Linked DNA regions of Lepisosteus oculatus. The protein of the gene in region 3 binds, or shares a complex with, the protein of the main gene of each other region. Links are inferred from orthologs where the notes say so. Each region holds a gene or a part of one and is shown on either strand. Other genes may lie near its edges.

The links. The genes of interacting proteins can lie anywhere in the genome.
Region 1: the proteins of rab11a (region 3) and myo5aa are in contact, whole or in part, in a crystal structure (PDB 5JCZ), measured with the Homo sapiens proteins. The link is inferred for Lepisosteus oculatus from reciprocal best matches to the Homo sapiens genes RAB11A and MYO5A. Residues at the interface, in NP_004654.1 of Homo sapiens: Arg33, Glu35, Ile44, Gly45, Val46, Glu47, Phe48, Ala49, Thr50, Gln63, Trp65, Gln70, Tyr73, Ala75, Ile76, Ala79, Arg82; in NP_001369276.1 of Homo sapiens: Ile1660, Gln1661, Trp1738, Met1742, Arg1745, Tyr1746, Ser1749, Gln1750, Glu1753, Arg1756, Gln1777, Gln1780, Val1781, Lys1782, Lys1784, Met1795, Glu1818.
Region 2: the proteins of rab11a (region 3) and rab3ip are in contact, whole or in part, in a crystal structure (PDB 4UJ5), measured with the Homo sapiens proteins. The link is inferred for Lepisosteus oculatus from reciprocal best matches to the Homo sapiens genes RAB11A and RAB3IP. Residues at the interface, in NP_004654.1 of Homo sapiens: Phe36, Leu38, Glu39, Asp127, Leu128, Arg129, His130, Leu131, Arg132, Ala133, Pro135, Thr136, Leu156; in NP_783322.1 of Homo sapiens: Asn367, Thr368, Leu369, Ser370, Ile371, Glu372, Pro373, Asp412, Arg424, Thr428, Cys431, Asn432, Thr435, Tyr439, Leu444, Val445, Lys446, Gln447, Gln448.

The regions. Positions count from the first base shown.
Region 1 is NC_090700.1:44,823,290-44,830,784, forward strand, and holds the start of myo5aa (unconventional myosin-Va), read right to left. Parts: upstream 3,025-7,495; 5' UTR 2,769-3,024; coding exon 2,736-2,768; intron 1-2,735. UniProt on the Homo sapiens protein: Processive actin-based motor that can move in large steps approximating the 36-nm pseudo-repeat of the actin filament. Can hydrolyze ATP in the presence of actin, which is essential for its function as a motor protein. Involved in melanosome transport.
Region 2 is NC_090702.1:23,324,072-23,331,117, forward strand, and holds the start of rab3ip (rab-3A-interacting protein), read right to left. Parts: upstream 3,025-7,046; 5' UTR 2,842-3,024; intron 1-2,841. UniProt on the Homo sapiens protein: Guanine nucleotide exchange factor (GEF) which may activate RAB8A and RAB8B. Promotes the exchange of GDP to GTP, converting inactive GDP-bound Rab proteins into their active GTP-bound form.
Region 3 is NC_090700.1:47,580,436-47,587,553, reverse strand, and holds the start of rab11a (ras-related protein Rab-11A), read right to left. Parts: upstream 3,003-7,118; 5' UTR 2,971-3,002; coding exon 2,925-2,970; intron 1-2,924. UniProt on the Homo sapiens protein: The small GTPases Rab are key regulators of intracellular membrane trafficking, from the formation of transport vesicles to their fusion with membranes.

The DNA.
Region 1 (7,495 bases), about 2.8 Mb from region 3:
TTATCCTCTTATGATTACATCAGTGAAATAAAGAAATTACAAGAGGATTTTAACAGGAAGATATTTGCATAATGTCCCAGTAATTTTAAATATCAGCCTAGAAACTACTATCCCTAGAATACTGTGTGAACATTTCAGTCAACCATAAAATGAAAGAAGTTCAAGTTGGTAGCTGTGTCAGCATGCATAGGCTGCAAAGGAACAGCTAAACGTTTTATTCCATGCTGAGAAGAAAAGAGACTCAACGTTTGGACTCTGGAGCCTTCTTCAGGAGGCTGAAGAAGGCTCCACAGTCCAAACACCGAGTCTATTTTCTTTTCAGCAATGAAATAAACCATTTGTGTTCCTTTGCATAAAATAAAGGGTTATGCAGTTGCTGAATTCATTTGGGTCCCTAGTGTTTCCAAGTGTACTCAGCCAAATGGAGATTGAGAGTTAACCTTCTACGTCAACAAGCGTAACTTCAAATGTCAAACCTTGATTTCTTCTTTTGTTTGGAACACTGGAAAATATTTATTTGCAAATACAGAGACCACAGTTCTTAAACTTGACCTCTTTTCATTATGGCATAAATATATCACAGCATATTTGGGAGTCTTGAGAAATATACAGCAAAGAGCTTCACAACTGCTGTTGAAAAATGGGTAACAGAAATATTTAATTAGTGTACCCTTAGGGTGTTGCAAACTGGATACACCTTCCTCTCCCACAAGTAAAATACTTTTAACTGTGAATCATAACTGCAGTTAAAGTTTAACAAACTGCTTCAAGGTGGTCTTAAATATGCAAACCCCTACTGTATATATGAAAGCACATGAGCTACAGATTAATTGAAAAGGCTTATATGTAGAATATTTAATATAATATTTATATTCTCACTAGTTTTTCAGCGTTGCACCCCTGCCTTTTCTGATCATCACATAGGTCTAGTTCTGCTATTTGCTGTCTGCCACTTATAGCTGTTAAAATGCTGAGTTGCAGATATAATCATCACAATGCAGTAACTGAGTCTCAGGCTATGCATGACTACACAAAAATCTGAAGGAGCCACTGCTAATCTAACATGAACTCAAAACAGCTCATCACATGACAGAAGTTCATGTGAGAATCTGCTGCTTTTCTGGATTGCCCAAGACATCCAGTCTTCTGGATGGTCCCTCCTGTTTTGTGCTATATGGTTCCTCTGTTTTGTGTTATAAGGACTTCTCACCAGCCGTAGTACAAAAAAAACCCACAATCACCCATTTATAAAATCTGTACTCCCCTTTAAGTCATTACTGACAGGCTTTCCATAGTACAGCATCAAAGTACTTCTACTTTTGTCATACCTCTCTAATCTGGAAGGACTGAAATCATCACAAGAGGCAATAGGAGTAAATATATTCCTGTGCTTTTACTATTGAGATTTCTTTTCCACAGTCCTTTTTGCTATTAAATGAATCTGTTACCACAGATATCTACTGTGAGTTCTAAGTAGCTCTCTACAGTTAACACTGTCTTGTTTGAGGATGCTCCTCGGAAACGCTATGGAATGAAGAACAGAAGGGGTCCCACTGTCACCTGCGTCATGAGGGGCTGGAAGAAAAGAAGGCTGGCCATCCAGTTATCATGGTATTTGTCTCAATCTGTGAAGCCCTGCTCCCAGAAGCAAAAGGAGAAGTATCAGCAACTTTGCTTATCTACTGCAGGTAACTGTGACTGCCCCATGCATTACAGACACATGGTTAGGAAATTAAAATGATTACAAATCCAACCATTTTCTTAACCAATTATCCATTACAGGATCACAGTAAGCCAAAAATGCAGCCTATCCTATAGCAAGCAACAGGAACAACGCAGCACCCTGAACAGGACACACGTCCATTTCAGGGCACAGATACAAACACAAACACACACCAGGGCCAGCTTTCCCTGATGTTAATTGACCTAACAGTATGTCTTTGGACTGTGGAAGGAAGCCAGAGCACCTGAAGGAAACCCACACGACCAAAAGAAGAATATACAAACTCCGTGCAGAGAACACCCCAGGATCTGAACCCAGAGCTCAGCCCTGCAAAGCGTCAATGCTGCATCACGTACCACCCATTATTAATGTTATCAAAAGAATAATCATGCATGAGAAATGGGTCTTATTTTCTGGATGTATTCTAAGGAGTGACAATTGCTAACACACAGCAATTATAACAGAGGACTGACACAGTAAAGCACATCTAGCGTTTTCAGTCCTTTTCAGACAACATGTTTCAGGGTTCTTGAACTATTTTGCTTTCTGTAATAATTCTCACTTCAGGTATCACTTTACTCATTGCATGCTATGTGTCCTGGTGTCTTCAGAGTTGTAGGGTGTAACACTCTTCTGTAGTGTGAGATTTTGTTTAATCCTAAGACAACACTGCAATGTTAAGGATACTGCCTTCTCGCTATCAAAAATACAAAGTACACTCTCAGAGAAAATTCAAATGATTAAAAATGGGAAAACAGTCAAACCCACAGCTGGTTTGACAGTAGCAAACACTAGCAATTCCTCCTAAAATAACTCATCTGATCATTTGTGATACGTCCAAGGTTCTGTACCCAAAATATCATAAGTCAAAATTATTTCTCTGGAGACCCAATCAGATAATTCAGGAAATGATAAAGGCATGTCCAGTTGCCTATCTGAAGCACACCAAAAGCTCCTTTGCTTACCTTCACATGTATGAACAACAAACAAAGCAAGATATGGAGGTACTTACTTTTACGTACATAAAATCCAACTCCTGGTTCATCTTCAAGCTCTTTGAAAGCACTATTTACTGACGAGCTTAATAACTTTGTTGAGACATGAAATGCAGCCAGCACAGAGAAAATGGATTGGTTGAAGTCACACTTGATGAAGGCTTTCCATTGCAGCTACAAGTGTTTACGGGCTTCTACTGTAGCTACAAGAATCTTGATATTCCACACTGCTGGACTTATCACCAGTGAGACTAGGAGCTGAAGGACACTTCCACAGCCCTCCAGAGCACAGACACAGCCCAGTACGAGTGGCGAATTTCTGATTGCTATGATGTGTACTCAGTTATCTTTCAATGGCATTTTATTTTCCCATTTAGAGCACAAAGGGGAGAGTGTTTTCGAATGGGCTACGTAGTAAGACAATTATGAACACAGCTGGTCTTATGACAATTCATGGTCTACAAGATAGTGGATCACCAATTGCCTCCAAGGCAAGGAGTTAATGCAGAGCACAGAAACTGCTTTTCTTCCTAAGCTTGGAAACCCACACATTTCTATTAATTTGAAAGCTGGACCAATTACGGAAAAATAATATGTTAGGGGACACAGGACTTGGGCATACAATCAAATAAAGTTCTGCTGAACATTCCGTGCATAAATACATTCAAAGGCATAGTACTGAACTGACGTTGCAATATTTCAGTGGAGAACCAGCAAAGTCACACAGCAGCAAAGCACTCTGTTAAAGACATGCTGAATAAAGAGAGAACAATATTGCATACTGCAGAATTACTCTATTTAAAGCATGTGTATGTATGGCTAAAATCATCTGTTTCAATGACTAGACCACAACTTCCTTGTCATACATTTGTGTTTATTTCTGCATTAACCTTTTTTGTTGGCATTTTTCATTTTTTAAATACATTACGTTAAACCAGGTGCATTCCTTATTTGAGGGAGAAGGTGAGAAGAAGTGAGAAATGAGCCCATCTTGTGCAATCTGCATGCACTGGTACGCCCTAGTTTCGAAGGTGCAGAAACTGTAGAAATCTGTAGCCATGCATCCCTATCAGGAGCTGCTGTGCCAGTGAAGGCGTAGGCCAAGTCCATGAGCTGCTGGCTCTGCCTGAGCCTTACATCATCTGTGCTCACTGCCTCTTTGTGGTTAGGAACTCAAGGTTTGGTAAGAGGCTCATTACACTTCTAGACCAAACAGAGCACTGCATTGCTATTACATCATTTCCTCAGGGAAGGGACTGCAGACAGCAAGATTAAACAAATCGCAAGGACCTCGGTATCAGTCCCATCTTCGCTACCACCATGCCTAATGCAACCATGCTTTTATTTTGCGTGAACAGCCAAGAATGTGTTTTGTTTGGCGCATTTCGTTTCTGTTTCTGCTTCAAGAGATGGACAAAATAATTCGATTTCATGAATCTGCCTCAATCTTGCTATAACTTGTTCTAAGAACAAGAACATTCTGAGCATTTTCTTTGCAAAAACCAATTAACTTTTTTTGTAACACACAGGTTACACAAAGGCAGATGTGGACAGCTGAATGCAAGCTTGGTACAAGCACAGGCAAACACTGATGACTAAAGTATGCCTGAACATTCCTGTGTCTGTCAGCTGTGAAACCCTTAGAGATGTTTACAAAGCTAATGAAGTTCTCACACGCTGGCTTAAGACAAATGGACTATTTATTCTGCCCTGGAATACTGCAATTACTAAACTTAAAGTTATGCTTTTCTCCTTCCTGCCACTGCTTAGATTACAGGATGTGCTGTGAATATGGCCTAATAAAAATATGCACAGATGAAGAAAAAATACTTTTTCATAAAACCTAGTCTATAAACCATGCTCATATTCATAGCATGCGATTCCTATAGTTCCAGTCACACTATTAAAAGTAATCTATTTTTTAGATAAGAAAATAAATTCTGTTGACCTTACACTTCAATATATTGCATAGAGTAGTGATAAGGCCAATTTGATCAGCAATGCAGGACTGAGGGCATGCAGTTCATTAGACTCCAGTCCATGGACTGTGATGTTGCCACTACTCCTCTGGGCCAGCAGCCTGAACCAGGACTAACAAAGCTGCTCTCCAAGGTGCTTAATTAGTTAATGGGTTATGATCTGACTGTGTTTTTCAAGCAAAAATAATAACGGAACTGTACATTAGCATGTATTTATATCGTGTAACAACATAATAGCGCGCCTCTACACAGAGAATGTACAGTAATAATTACGGTCTAATAAATCCAGTTTCAATCAACTGCATTCTATGGAGATGAATCTGTCAACGGTGTACAGTGAATCCAATCAACAGCTCATCCATTACCGGGTTGCCTTGTGCTGATTTCACAGCACAAAAAGAGGCAGCGGTTTGCACAGCGTTAAGGCAAGGTGGCTGGGGCACCTTGCGCCACAGTGCATCGTCACTGATGGAAATGGCCTGGCTCAGCATCACAGCCGTACCTATCCTGCGTTCTTCGTTCAACTTCACAGTCCGACTCGCACACACAGTAAACACCGGGCTGAAGATGCAGCCCTCGAAAAAACAGCCTTATTCCGGACTGTTACTCGTCCATATCCTTAAAGAATGTTAAATTCTAAAGGAGGTTCGTTAGTAGCACTTGATTTTCCATCAGCAGTATTTTCTGCAACCATCGCCCCCTGACACTCCACAGTTACGCATAAGCATTAAATGTGCTCAATCTAATTTATAGGAAAATAGCTATACTCTGAAAAAAAAACAATAATTACATCCATTCTCCCCTTGACTTGAAAAAATAATTCCGAGAATATGGTAGAATTTAACGTCTCTGAGCACATTTGAAGGACAGAGCTGTGCAAGTACCGGTTAATTTAACTGCCCTCGGGTGAATCAGACAAGCATTCGTAAGACACTGATTTTTTTTTTAAAGGAATAAAAAACGGTGTCCTGCAGCAGCAGCACTGTAGCACCAAAAGTCTCGTTTCAGCGCCACATCGCACACACGCAATTCAGTGGTACATTAAACTGCGGAGAACCAAAAATCAAAAGATGTCATTCATTCATTCCTGCCTGCCTGGCCATTGTTCAATCGTCTGCTCCACCGGCAGCTGGTTTGCTCTTTTTCTGTGGGGGGGGGGACAACATCACAGAACGGGAAATACAATCTTAACTCAGACGCGCATCCCAAAACACGGGACGGCTGCTGGGAAACAGTAACATGCAAAAGCTGCAGCTGCAATCTGAACGCCGCACCGTCAAGCGGAATACAAAATCCAGCATTACCTTTGTGTACAGCTCGGACGCTGCCATGACGGTCTATCCAGCGTTGGTCTAATCCTGGTCAGCAGAACATCAGTGGTGCGCTTAATTTGTCGGACTCGCTTCACTGGCGTTGCTCTCTTGTTCTTTGTAAATCCTTTCCAGCAAACGGGGAGACGGCTCAAGCAGAGGTAGCAAACGCCATGATACCTGAAAATCTTGCTATTTTAGTGTCTCTCTGTGCATTCTGGGTATGATGAATGAAATCATTCAGCGAAAACCCGTTGCTAACCATGAATCTGATGTAATCCGAGCGACGGCTGCCTCCCAGCGGCGGTGCTTCATTTTTAACACAGTTCTGTCAAATGTTGAAATAAATAGAGCGTCCGTCGGTGGCGTAAATCAGGTTTCGAAAGAAGCTGTAATCAACATTCATTTTCCAAACAATGCACATACTGAGTGGTATAAATTTGAAAGGCATCTGAGTATGTCACGAAAAACTAGGGTAGAAATGTAAATGAGAACGTGAGAACTAGACCATGGTTTTTTAACGTTGTAATAGGGATATATCCGCAGCAGGGAACTACTATTAAATCTGTGTCTTCCAATATGAAGCTAATTTTCTTGATAAAAAGTTTAGTTAGCAGAACTATAGTTTAATATTCCATATGAATAATAATGTCCTTTCCGTTGACAACCATTGTACTGTCTAGACTTCTTAAGAGTAATAGCCTTAGTCAATCTTAATTAAAAAGAAACTTTAATTCTGTCCAAGACACGATAAGGATGTGAGTACAGCAACTTGAGACTATGCAATTAATTTAACTAAACGTTTTAAAGTTATGTTTTCATTGTTAGATGCTTGACAGATTAATTTAATAAAACAATAACCGAAAGGAGTGTATCTTCTGTTATTGGGGAGAATTGGGGAGAGTTTAACTGATCCGTACCCAGTTGATAACTGCAAAACAATTACATTATTTTAGTCAAATTAAAAATCAAAATATCGTTCAATGAGTTTCTTGATGCCTCTTGACCAACAATATAGCGATCTCTTTAAGTTATCTATTGCACCTCTTTCTTCAGTAAACGCTAAAATCCATCAAATTGACGTCAGGAAAAAATGTTATAGTCAGAATAAAGAGGACCCATGCAGTTAATCGAAAACGGGTATATTTCAATTGTTTCTCCAGCATTACTAATGACTGGGGTATCGATGCAAATACATCATGCGTTTATATTATTGACCGTTTAGTTTCTACTTTCTAAGGAAGGAAAATACAAAAATAGCTTAACTGCCAAAAAGACTCTCGCCTCCCAAGCGGTAAACACATCCCCACGTCTTGGGACTCTATCCTCTCAAGACAGACCGGTTTGCGTTATCAGCCATCAGAGGGAGTCTGGTCGTGTCGGCTTCTGATTGTCGTCGGGCTACTGCAAGTACGAGTTGCAACGCATATTTCTGCTGCTCGTCATCCATTCCTCCATTTTCAGTTCAACTGGCCTTGTGAGGGTGCC
Region 2 (7,046 bases), on a different chromosome or scaffold from region 3:
CACCCCCAGCTTCATAACTAGAATAGGAATTTGCAGGCTGTATTAAATCTTGAAGGCAAAAAAAAAATTAAATCTCCTGAAGAAAAGGTACATAAATCAAAAACAGAGGCTGCCGAAAGCATCAGCCTGTCAATTATTCATTTTCTGAGAGAAACCATTTACCGCCGTTCGTCTTCCCTCGCACTGCCGCTATAATGGGCCCTTGACTTCACCCACTCTTTCAGCGGCTCCCCGACACCCCGCCTCCGTGTTACCTAATTGCCTCCAGCTGGAAGAGGTGCTGCTTCCTTACTTATTCAGACCACAGGGGCACCATGAATTATAAATGAGGGCTGCAAACGCACCGTACGACAGGTCACATTTGTCAGGATACAGACGGCGGCTAATGAAATTAAAAAAGATCAGTTTCTCCTGTTAGCTTTGCTAGGGCATGATTAATTACGAAGATGTGGTCTTAAAGTCTACCCCCCCTCCCCCCAACACGTTTCAGAAAGCTTCGGCTTTCATATAAAGAAATTGCACGACTCGTAAAATGGCTTAGTAGTCTAATTTGTTAAGAAGAAACAACGCTGGGCATTTAGCAGGAGATGTTCTGGGAGATCAAGTACGTCATCAAAAGTTCAGCAGACCATTAAACCTGCGATACTTAAACCCATGTGAAGGAGCAAGAATAGCTTAGCTGGAAGACCATAGCTGGGGCTTCTTGATTGTATTCTCGGGGAGGCTTTGAGTGGTGAGCATTTTCTAAAATTAACAGTAAAGTCCTGAACAGGACAAGCACCTTTCCCTGAAATTGCAGAAATGTTGGCAAGCATTCTGTGTCGCCTGGTGCCTTTGCCAAAGCTGAAAACGAAATTCTTGTACAGACCACACTTATTCCATTCAGACACACTCACAAATGGGCAGAAAAAAGAAAATAGGGACAAGAAGGATATCCCTTTATAGTTCAGATATTTGAACGTCGGTATTTTCCCATAAACAACTCTGAAGAGAATGACGAGACTGACGAGACACATATAAACCGGAGAAATTCAGTATTTTGGGCACGGTGTTTTACACAGTACAGTTCTGCGTTGTAATGTGCCTCTCAGGAGTGTCCTATTGTGTCTAAAACAAACAAAGTGCTAGCACAGCCCCTGCCTCTGTTGGTTTAACTGCACAACTAACCACGCTCATATTTCAGGGCTTTGTATCCAGTGTTACACTATAAACGGGCCTCACTGTTTTTATCCTGTCACTAGCTTGTCATTGCTAGTGGGGGAAAAAAAGGAAAAACGCAAAAACCTGATGCTTTCTGAATGCCTGTTTTGTTGGCTATTTCTGCTCCAACTCTTTCCGCAATTAACTGCGGTTTAGACGCTTGTGCAATCTGCCTAATATTTAACGTTGACTAAAATATTAAGAATTAAGCTAAACTCAAATGTATCCATGCAAAATTCCCTCGGCAAAAAAAAAAATCAGATTGACAAATGACATGCCGTTACTGAAAGGAGTTTAATCTGCACAAAGCGTTTTCGTCACCAATTTTGTTCGATTTGACTAGGCTACCTCACTATTTCTGTCAGCATATTATGTCCACTAAAGCACGTCAATCGCAGACATCTCATGCAGGATTAGTAATCGTTTGGTTTCAACACACTAGGGCAACAGGAATGTAAATGTACTCGATATTGCACCTAAAACAGTCAAATTGCCTTCGAATATGAAACAAACTTGATTCCAATAGTGTATTTTGGCTCAACATCCCCAGATTCTTTTAAGCGACAGTAGCTGAAGCACAAAATACGAAATTGCGTCCCCGTGTCTAACCAATTATTTTTTGGACCTCCTGTCTTGTCGCACGTGTCTACCTATACAGTACAGGCGTGACAGAAAAACCACGATTCCTTTCGCATAAAATAAAGCTCTTCGATCTCAGACCAAACTATGAGGAATACAGGACGGAAATAAGACTCGCAACAGAAACGTTCGTTAAATTATGGATTTTATAAAACAGGCAAGATAATCCAGTGCTCTTACTCTATTATGCACATATTAAACGTCAACAGCAAGTTTTATTTTTCAATGTAGGGATCGGAGTTTTTCGACGAGAGACGTTCCCCATTTTTTCCATAATCAGGGATTTTTGTTCTGTCAACTAACACATTACCCGGGGGCGAAACTGTTGCCCTGGTCTTAAAAACTGCAGTACCGAAAATAAAAAAGGCACAAAAAAACGCCTTGCCCCTTTTCGTTGTTACAAAGGAGATCAACAGCACGCACAATCAAATTTCGTGCCTTTGGCTGCTGTTGGGTTTTTTTTTTTGTCTGTTTTTGATTGAAACCAACAATGCATCGTGCGGCCCTTTTTCTAAAATCCCACTAAAGGGAAATAATCCTCTTACAAAGCATTATGTATCAGTTCGTTTCATGTCCAGGTAGGATGTCCACCGAGACCGGCTGGTGTGAAGGCTGAAATCTTCACCCCTAATTACATCATTTTGCAGGGACCCGCTAGAAAACTAAATCCCGAAAAAATGGTCATTCGCGACGTTTAATGGGCGCCCGTGGAATAACTTGAGGCTAAATCAAATAAGCGTTTCCTGAGGTTGATTCGCTTCGGAATCTACACAGATCCTGGCTTTAATCGTCTGATACGAATCTCAAAATGCGACAAAAAAAAAACTACGAGCGCGTAAAAGTCCAGAAACAATCCATGTAATGTGGTTTCTCCCCTTTATTTTAAAAACACACTGCCTGTAAACATTTGATTGCTAGAGTATCGCACAGCACAACACCAGGCGAAGCTCGCTACCTGCACAACTGTGCCAGGATCGGATCATGATTTCAGCAGCTACCTACCTATGGCTTAGGAAAGCTAATGAAGAAAATTCCCTGCAGACAGGAAAATGTCCACTTCAAAGAGACGGTCAATTGAGAGACAGGTAACTTCTCTGAGACAAGGATGGAGAAAGACAGCTCACAGCCAGATCAGCTCTAGGCACACCTGCTCCCTCTTCTGCGTGTGAACACGACTGCAAACCGCGCATGCGCGCCCCGGCGGCCGCCCTATGTTTACACAGGCGTAGCTACCCGGTCACAACCGTAATACAAATGGTACACACGCATCTGTGATTTGATGGTGGAAATTTCAAACTACTGTACGTCAAATAATAATATCTCCGCACATGAACCCCGTATGTGGATTAATGCGATAAGTGGATGCATGGACTGGAGCAAAAAAGAAAAACAAATATCCTTCGCATCTGAATTAACATACAGTTGTGGAAACGGCCGTTTTTCATTCATGAATGAAAACATTCTTGTGAAAGCGCTTACCCTCCTGGTTCTCTTACAAAATAATACAATTACATTGTTGAGGAAATTATATTTCTATTTTTTTTCATAATAACCCTTATGGATGCGTTGCACACACATAATCGTGCTTTCTGCTGCATGTCGATCAGAAACACGATTTAAACTAACCCTAGAAATTCCTTTATTTAACCAGATAAATCAGTTGAGAATAATCCTTTGTTTAAAGTGGCGACCTGGCCATGAGACGCACACCATTACTGTACAGAAAAAGCAAAAGAAAAAAAGCTCTACAATGTAAATTGAGCTAATAGGACGTTGTAACGTTATCAAGAGTAACTTTTGTTTTAGCCAAAAGAAAAAGGCGTGATTTGTTCAAGAATATTCATACACTACTTATAACACATAAATGCAGTGTCTTTTCAGTACAACAGTGCCGCCTGTTACAGTATAACTCCCCTACCACAATCCTGTCACGTCCAGTGCATCCAGAGGGCGCTCTACTTCTGTCTTGTTCCTAGTTCCCTGTGATTATTCATGTTTTTCCCGTGTGTTGTTGTTGTTGTTGTGTAGCCTATTTACTTCCTGTGTCTGCTGTACTCCTTGCTCAGCATTGAGGGTACGGATTTCCTGAGACCCGCCTAGCACCAGGTCGCTACTGTCTGTGGCCTGAGGGCATAGATTTCTTTCCGATATCATCTGACCCCCTGAGTCTGGGCTAACCTCTGTGTTGCCCCTTTCACCGCTACGCCCTCCTTGTCATTCCACGGCTTGCCTTTCCTACATCCGTGACATATTACCATGCATAGGGAGAGATAATCTAGCAAAACATTCTGCATCATTAACCTTGGCCTTTTGTAAATCAAGGACTGCTGCTGTCTTATAACACGAAAATACACCGAACCAGAATACTGACTGACACAGGCCCCAACGTCAACAATTCAGTCTCACAAAACTACCAAACTCCACCATCTGTAGCTGGTCAGAAGTGAATCAGAATATTCTAGTCAGCTCCCTCACCTCAGAGCTCTTCACTACAGCCAGCCAGAGGTGACACAGCCAAGGTGTGACGGGCCAGCCTCCAGACTGAAGGACCCGTCAGCTGAGCCAAACAGAAACCCAAACACTTGCTTTTACATTTCAACTGCCTCGAGCAGAACAAACAAGCACTCTCCCGCAAACAGTACTGAAGTTTCGACGGACGGATTTGCTGTCCGCTTAAGGTTATGTCTGGGTTCAACAATTGTTTTTTAAAGGCATAGAGACTGAAATAGCCCAAAACAGAAAAATAAATATTTTGGGTAAGAGAACAAAAACTACAAATAAGTCAAAAAATGTAATTTAATTCATATTTGATCACTTCAGCACCAGTCATCCTGTTCAGCAGCTCATCCTGTGAAGTCCTGCAGAACAGGTTCATGCTCGTGTCTGTTAAGTGCCAGTCAGTCACTCCGGCACAATAGTGGAACTCAGAGCTCTGAGTTGTGTTTTCACACTGGTCATCGCCCCTGACCTATGGCAGTCACACATGGAGTAAGGCCTGGTTTAGCTCTTAACTAGCGGGGCTGTATTACGCACATACTTGTCTTACACAATGTCCACAAAAGACAAGAGATTCCAGATGAAAGGGGTGGGAGATACGATAGCACCTGGAATACCTGCCCAAAAGAACTGAAAATCAAACAACCATCAAAATAGTGAAGAGCCCGCACAGGGCAAAGGGCTGCAAATATCCCAGGCAATTTGAATACAGATTTGTATACAGAAGATGTTTGTTTTTGAAAGCAGGAAATCAATTCTAAAATAATAGGTTTGACATATTCATATTCTAAAGCCACCCCTTAATCTGGCTATCTAAAACTGGGGCTGGATCAAAATAGAACACATTTCTGAGCACAGAAGCAATGGGAGATGAAACTGAAGGCTGGGGAAAAAAATATTTGCCTGGATCCACATCATATGTACTGAAATAATTGTACTGAAAATAGTAACACACAAGCCTGCTGTCACAGGCCACTCAGTTGTGATAGCTAACCAGAACCCATTCAAAATGTAATATATATTTATTGTGGACCATCAAAATAATTGGAAATGTCACAACTGAAAAATACTTACTCCTTTCCCTTTTCAAGGAAAAACATTTCCTATTTTTGTTGATACAGATACACAAGGAAACCCTGAGTCAACATATGCATTTATAAAACAGAAGGTTAATAACAATATACAGTGCCTCTGTCTCACAGTCACATAGTGATAGCATAGCTTTAGTGTTTTCTGCCAAAAAAAGCAACAATAATAAATTTTTAAACAAAACTTTGCCTTCCATACAATTCCATAACAATTTTATGAAAATGATAAGCTTACCTGGAAATTACTGTATATATCAGGAAAATAAATTAATAATCAAATAAATAATTTTTCAAAATCATGCAATCACATTAAAAATAATTGGATTGAAGCATATTGTCCCAGGGCGCTAGTCAGATTACTCTTCAAATGCAGTGAAGGTTTTCAATGAGGCATTGTAACCAACAACAGCTCTTTTAATAGCTTGTTCTGACCCAGTAAGAAATAAACAAATGGTAAGTTCAGAAACTGCAGTTAAAATAGTATCCAGCTTTCATAATAAAGTTTTCCTCTAAGCTTGCATCCATACATGTCTGTCAGCTGATTAAAAAATAAAAGTTTACACTACTTGTGTTGAACATTTAATTAAGGATTAGAATTTGTGGTCTAATACAAACAAGGCTGAGCTCTTCTCTGTTTTAGGAAAAACAGCTTAACACTGAGCTTTTCCTTCAAGCACAAAACCCTGTTCATTTTCTCTGATAATTTTAAGCAGAAGACTATAAAAGGAAATGGGGCCTTATAAACAAAGGCAAAGAATTAAAGATGCTACGTCTGAAAAATTTTCAAAAAGTCCAAGAGGAGACTCGGTAACTGTATACTGTCTTCACAATGTCATGTTAAGTTTTGGTTTATTTTCAACAAAATTATGCCTTTTCTTTAGCAAGCTTAATTATTATACAATATATTCAGGGTTATAGTGGGATTGCTTACAAATGTGCAACACATGACGTCCTGTGCATGCTGATTTTTTGTTGTGTGACTAAAGTATGTAATATCCAAATGCCTCAACTCAACAGTTCCCAACTCTAGTATTTGTTCATCAGACATCAGACAGCAAAATTCAGAACTACAAGATGGCAGGTATATCGAAAATGAATGTGTCTGTTGAGTCGCACTATTTGTGATCAGTACCAAATTTTGAGTTTCAGAACTGCCTTCATTCACTTACTGTATATTGCCTGATTGGGACCAAATGAGTTTCTGCCGATGGTATAAAACCTCATTGCAGGAACTGTCTACTACAGTGACATTCCCACCCTTGTCTATCAGAACTTGATCACCTTCAAAGGGCTGTTTAGTGAGAAATAATGGTACAGTAAGTGAGTTGAAAAGATACTGCTTACATTATTATCACACAACTGGAGGGCAAAAGCCTCTGATCCCCAGGAAGCTGGCAGGACTTTTAGCCATCTGAGTCTGCACACACGAAGTAGAACATACCTGGGTTTGTCAGGCACCGAGTCTGTTAGGAGATTATAACAGGCCTCTGGACATTGGAAAGAAAACCACAGTGGAAAGAAAAACACCCAGGAGGGATATTTTATGCTAGCAACGGACTTCACCACACACAAACACTCACACTTAAACATAAACTCGTGAAAACGGGACTTTCTGCTCTCTAG
Region 3 (7,118 bases):
CCTCCTTAAGCCCCTTTTCATGGTTAGCAAGCTTGATTAAAACCTTAAGCCTACTAAATCAGAACAAAACCTAAATGCTTGGCTGTGTTCATTGATTACCTTTGTAATCCCCACCATGTGAACAACAATAAAAATAATTTTAAATTGAAAAACACTGAATGAAATTGGGCAGGATGGGGTGGCAGTCAGCACTCCTGTCTCAGAGCTCATGGGGTCCCGGATCTGGTCCATCTGTGTGGAGTTTGCATGTTCTCAGATTATCCACATGGGCTCTCTTTGGGGGGGTAGTATCCCCTCCCCTCTAGAGATGTGTTGGCCAAGTTAACTAGTGTTGATAAACAGGCCCTGTGCACGAGCCCTGCGGGGGACTGATGTCCCAGCCAGGATGCAGTCCTTTCTGGCTGCCCCAGCTTCCTGAATGACTTTTACAAGGACTTGTAAGCTTCTTTCTTACAATGGATGGATCCATGACAGAGCCTGAGCTGTGTTTGTTTGTGGCGCCCAAGAACCATAAGTTGCAATTTCAAAAAACACACCTAGAACAAGGAGCTCCCTTGTGTCAACTTCCCTTTCCCGATATAAACTGCACTATTGAATAAAACCCCAGCAGTTCAGCTGCTGCTGATAGTAACACACTGTGACAGTCCTTTGTGTATTGTTCTAAAGTTGTACAGATACAGCTGTAAATAGACTAAACTCAGCCCTGTTTAATTCTGCTAAACAAAGAGCCTAGATACTGTAAATGCACACTAGTGCTTTTACTGCACTATAAGAACCTCAGTACACCTGTAAGAGCAAATAGCAATCTCAGCAAGTGGTAGAGTACCTTTCAGTTGTACAGTAACTCCACAAGGCTAAAACACACACTATTACTGTCCTGCAAGTGAATACCTAAACCTTAGTGAACAGCAGTTAAGAGCTGCTAAACAGAAGTGAAGGGTGTGCACATTCAGAGTAAACACGCAGGTACAGCATGTGGGACAGACTAAAATTGCAGGGAGTGCACTCCAGTCTGGGACCTGGCTGCAACTTAGCTGAGCAGCCCTTTGGACCCGTTGTTGACTCTGCCAGACCTGTGGAGTAGCCAAAGCTGACTTGCGGAGGCCCCGAACGTTTTCTAAGAACATGTGCATGCTACAGTGATTTGGGTTTGTATGCAAGCTTATTTCAAACGGCATCTGTGTTTGCAATGGCTTGCGATTCTCATGCCTGAGTAGCAGGGTGGATGCACTGAAGCACACAAAGCCTGCAGGCTACAGCATTCCACAGAGCAATGCAATACTTCCTGACAATGAATAAACCCCTTTGTTCCGAAGCTGTGGAAACATCAACCCATCCGCAACCCCTTTCTCCTGTTTCTTGTTGTTTTTCTTTTAAGAATCTAGGATTTGTCCATTACGATCAGGACTTACTGCCTATCAGGTTCCAGAAGGTCTGTGTTGTCACCGAGCTCCGGCTCACAGGATCACTGTAAGACACATTACAGTGGAACGCAGGTGATCAACAGGGAGATGCCTGTATCCGCCTGCTGCCTGTGTTTCTTCAACAGACTCTACACCCTCAGGTTAATCGAATATAGAAGTTGCGAAATTCATTCTTGATATTTCAGTTAAATATCAGAGGAGGTGAAGACTTAAGTAAAAATTGGGGGGAAACACACAGATCGTTGTCATTCTACTGTTGCAATTTATGGTGATGGAAGACTCGTGAAATGGCTTCACTTCAAACCTCCAAGTGAGGTTGACTCCAAGACCTTAAGCTCAAAAATAACTCCTCGGACAAACAACCACGGCATAGGTCAACACGAACAATTGGCAGAGTATTCGATTTCAAACGGATGAAAACACAATAAGTAAAACTGTTAAAGCATTGATGCCTACTTGGCAGAGAGCATGAAGAAATGATAATCACCCCCCCACACACAAAAAAGGGGGTCACAGTGACGACAGTGAGTAACGTTTTAAAACTAAACGATGAGCGTCTGCGGGTGTCCGAGAGTCCGCATTCCTTCCGCACTTGGGCTAGTGGATTCCTGGACAGTCAAATGTCCGTCCCTGACTCATCCGCTGCGAGTCCCGGACAAACACACACACCCAGTAATCCTGTTACGTGTCTCTCAGAGAATGTCATTGAGCAACGGTTTCTGCTTCCTCGCTAGAGTAAGACTGCCGCTTTGCATTTTAAGAGTCTTGTTGTAAATAGTGAAGAAAAGGACAGTATACACAATCGTACATGAACAACCCGACCAACCTCAAGTTACAATATGTCTTATGGTCTTGGTTAAGGCGGCGTACCGAGTTAACATTGCACAAACGAGTACAGACGGGCGGACACTGTCTTGAATCTTAAAAAAAAAACAACGTACAGAGGTCGCCCCGTAAAACAAAAACCGAATTACGCGAATCGCTTTGAACATCTCAACCTTCACCAAAGAAAAAAACAGTAACTTGTAACAGTGTCAGTTTCAGAAATAAAGGAGCTGATATCAAAGCTTAATTGCAGCAGAGCAGTTCAGCATCCTGTCAGCGTATTCAAACGCTTTTATTTCTCCTTACACGTTACAATGTGAAGGCAGCAGGTCTGGGCACATTATTAAGGTGTGAAATGGCGCCGCCAGCTGCGGTTACCGTCCAGCAGCCGCTGTGACAGAGGCAGGTGGGAAGAGGTTGTTTCAGGTACCTCTCGGTGTACCGCAACCTAGGACTCTGCTCCCCGGACGTAGTGTAACAACATGTCGTAATTTCGCCTTGATTTCTCAACTTTCAACCGTAGCGACTGTTTTTGCTATACGTGTGCTAAAAAGAGCCCGGGCACAGACGATTAGTCCCCCGGTCTTAATGGATAGTAATATTATTCACAGAGCAGCAGACCAGATATCTCGGGTACCTCACAAAAGCCCGATGAAGCCAGTGCCGAGCACTTACCGTGTGCGATCAGTGCAGCTAATGTTACTAACGCGCAGGCTAACATCAACCATTACGGAATGAGAGAAAACGATGTTTTGTAGCACTCCCTTTACCTTTGAACAAATAGTCATATTCGTCGTCTCGGGTTCCCATCTTGATTCCAGAATAAATCGAGCCAAGTGAGAATGAAAATACGGGATGGCAGCCGCACCGTGTTGCCCACTCCAGCCAAATTACCACCCGAGACCTGCAAGAGTCAAGAAGTCTGCACTTCCGGGGTCACAGCGGGGTCACCATTGATCAACATTTGTTTCTTAAATATTGCATATCTGTTCCAAAGGTGGGTGGTATGTGCAGTCACTCCTCTCTGGGCCACGATCTTTAAACGTCCTTCTGATACAGGTCCGGTTTACTGAAACCTACAAAGGCGTCTAAACGAAATGAGCGCAGCGTTTCCTTGGAGTCTATGACGTAATGCTGCCGGGCGCGTGTGCCTCTTCGATAGTGCGGTACGGTCCGCGTTCCCGAGATTTCGTACTATCCCGTTTACCATCTCTTCGTTGATTGTGTCTCCTGATTAAAGGAACACGCACACACAGGTTTTTGCATCCTGCAAATGTGACACGCGCACCTTAATGCAACTGTATGTATCTGCTGCCAGGGAAGACATGTAGTGAATTCAGCTCTCTGAGATTGCCAGGTCCGCATCATGTACGTCTAATACTCCCGTACGAATACGTACTGAAACGATTCAACTTTATAAACGTTTAGTGGTATTTACTGAGTGCTTTGTAAATCTCGTTGGTGTGTGCATTGCTAGATGTGGCAGATAAAACGACGAATTAACGACGGTGTCATTGCCCAGCTTGTTTTAGGCTCATGCAAGGGGGTTTACGTACAGGAGGTTCCATGGTGTAATGGTTAGCACTCTGGACTCTGAATCCAGCGATCCGAGTTCAAATCTCGGTGGAACCTGACTTTTTTCCCTACTTGTTTAAATAACAGCACAGCAAAATAGCTGGCATGTTGTCCTCGTTTTACACATCGAGGATACGCGAAATTGTTAAATAAAAACGTTTAAATTGAATATATTTATCTTGACTGCTGGACGAGCGTAAATTCAATATCGTGTCAACAGATGGCAGTAAAGGCGATGTAGCTGTGACTGGGGGCGCAGGTTCTCTCTACTCCATTTTGCACCAATCAGGCTGGAAAAACGGGAGCCCCACCGTGCGAAGATGGCGGGGTTCGAGCGGAGGGTTCCGGTGGGTCTAGCTTCAGCCCGACGGTTCGCTGAGATGCAAACACCGAGCTGCAGAAAGTCAGTCAGCTGGAAGTAGCGCCGGTCCTGGTGCTGCATTGTATGTAACAGCGGAATGCGAACGAATCCTCCCTTTTAGATTGTAAAACTTGTGTCTTTTCCGTTTTTAATTGCACTCCCTCACGTTGTCTTCTGTCCTCGTTGTACTGTCTACCGGGTTAACACGCTTACAGACCTCCGACTGCTGTGAACGCAGTTCTACAAGGAGCCTGTAAAGATGACCCGGTCTGTATTAATGCAAGAAGGAACAGCAGGCCTGTATAAAATAAAAAGTATGAATCCAGCAGGAGGCGGTAGTAAGATTGGCACGGAAACCTCAAACTTCATTAGAAAAGTCTTAACTATGATGTTGTTCCTGAAGTTCCCAGCGCATAACCCGAGTGTGTTACAGTTCTCTATGTAGCCACAGCGGTTTCTGTGACACTGCCCTGTGCTGACCGGATGGTTACTGCTGTAACGGAATGCAAACTCTTCAAGACGCGGCGTCCATCCGGCATTTTTTGCTCCGACAGCATTGGACCCTAAAATATTCTGATTTTGTGTCCGTGTCAGTTCTCAAGTTCGCCGGTCGCAACCCAGCGGTGAAAAAAAAAATCTGACACAAATGAAGTCGAAAGAAAAGTTGTACTAAAACTGACTACATAGCCATATCATGATAAATATTTATGAAGAATTTACAGGATTGTATTAATGAATACAGAGCCTTACAACGTAAGGATACCCTAAACGTAAAGGAAGTGTCCCAGACGTCAGTGAGACAGTTTCAGACACTGTATAAGGTACTTCAGAAAGGGATAACTTTTTCAATTAAGAAGTTAAAGGAAGGAAGATTGCTTTTAAGAAAGAATGGATTGGCTTGCAGAGTAACTGTACACACACTTCATAGATGACTCTGACAACATCTTAAAGTTTTTCTCTTCCACTATCTTGTTAATTTTAAAAAGCAGAATTGACTTGCCTTTGGAATGGGTTATCTTTTTAAGACTAACCTTCTCAACTCTGGGTGAATACCAGACTTCTGCATGAGCTCCTGTCACGGCTTGATGCCCAGGGCCGGCCACCAGACCCTAGACGCTCTCGTGTCATAAATACCTCTCCACCTGTGTGGCAGGGGGGCTCATTGCAATGTGACATGCGTGGGGGCTGTGTCGTTTCTGGGAGAAAGCGACGGTGAGCTGCTGATGAAACAGGCCCTTGTCTCTCCTTGTAGGTTCTTCTCCTGCTCTACCACCCCACCTGGCCAGTTCAGGTCAAAGGTCAAAGGGCGGGTAAGACGGAAGCCAAGCAGCAGTGGGAAATTTGGACTCAGTACCAGTCATATCAGAAGGCCCGGCCCCCACCACAGGTGGGCTCCAGCTGCCAGGGGCCACAAAAGAGTTTGGAGGGCAGAGGCGACAGGCACTCACGTCAGCGCCACACTGACTGAGAGGGCGACACTGACTGCCAGCCCGGCCTTCCGTCTGCCTCTCCCGCGCCCGCGAAGGACCGTACCGCCAAGAGCCTGGCCCTCTCCAAGCACTCCCGCCCCGCTGGCTGGAGGCACAGGTCAGCGCCATCGGCCTCGCGTGGGCTCCCGGCAGAGGCGCGGGACCCGCGGGCTCTCGACCCGGCCGCAGGCTGGCACTGGAAAGGCTTCGAGCCCAGGAGCCCGATGGGCCAGACGGCCTTGTTTTGCAGGTCACCTCCCAGGTGCCGCAGGGTGTGTGCAGCCTGCCATACAGACACAGCAGCTCCCAGCACCTCAGGGTTGCCGTTGGCTGTCGTCTTACTCAGGTAAAGCTGAGGAAACCTTACAGCTGGCAAGGCATGATTTCACTTACCGCTGCCAGAAACCGCCTCTATCACGATTCCGCGTGATTTGAACGTAGCGTGTGTTGTTTGTGAGATACCGTGTTTTGAACTTATGGAGTGCCGGCCTGCGGAGATGAGCACAGCGAGCTGGTAGACTGCAGCGCAGACATCACTATGACTTTGTGAGCTGGGTTGGGGTCACAGAAAGCATGTAACTGGGGACTGGCTCAGTGCCACCAATGGTGTAGATCTCTGTTTTGTTTGAAGGAGTCTGGATACAGTGGGCAGCTTCTGCACATTAGTATTCAGTGTGAGCAGGTCAAGACAGGTTTGGGTCTCGGTTCGCTATCCCCCTGGCGTAACAGAGGGGAAACTGCAAATAACAAAATTAACCTTTAAGCTGTGGATGAACAAATTGCATATTTGCTTCAGTGATGTCCATATTAAAGTCTGTATTTACCTTTTTTTTGTCCATGTTGTTTTTTGTATGTAGAAATATTTCATCACCCAACTTTGTACTTCTGATACAAGTATCAGAAGTACAAAGGGAGCTATAACTCAATAATTTCACTTAAGAATAGAGAGTGCTACCTTGTCTGATGCCGCCATCACTGGAAGTCTGCCCCACACTGAACTCTTCGCTTTTCTACAGCTTCTTCACGCTGAGAAGAGCGCTGCTTTTGTCAACATTGTCCGTGTCCACTAGGTGGCAGACTTGCCGCTTTCTTTCCAAGTTGTGACACTTGATCAACACATAAGGTCAGCTATTTGTAAGGGTGGGAAATGTGTCCTTGCGGTTGTCATTGTACGTGAATAGAAAATGTTACAGTGTCTTAAAAACACAGCCTGGTATATCAGGTACTGGGGCTAATCACAAAAAAATGACTGTAGAAAGCAGGGTTGTGGGTTCAGTTGTCTGATGCGGTTAAAAACAATTGAAATAATCTATGGAAGTTTTTATTGTTCAGTGCTTTTCCTGCTGCATGAGATGCAAAGTATTTTTTGATTAATGATCTGTATATTCCTCATCTGTTGTTAGTGCTTAAAAATCCTCTATTTTCTAATTAATTTTTTACTTGCTATTTTAAATGGTGATATAA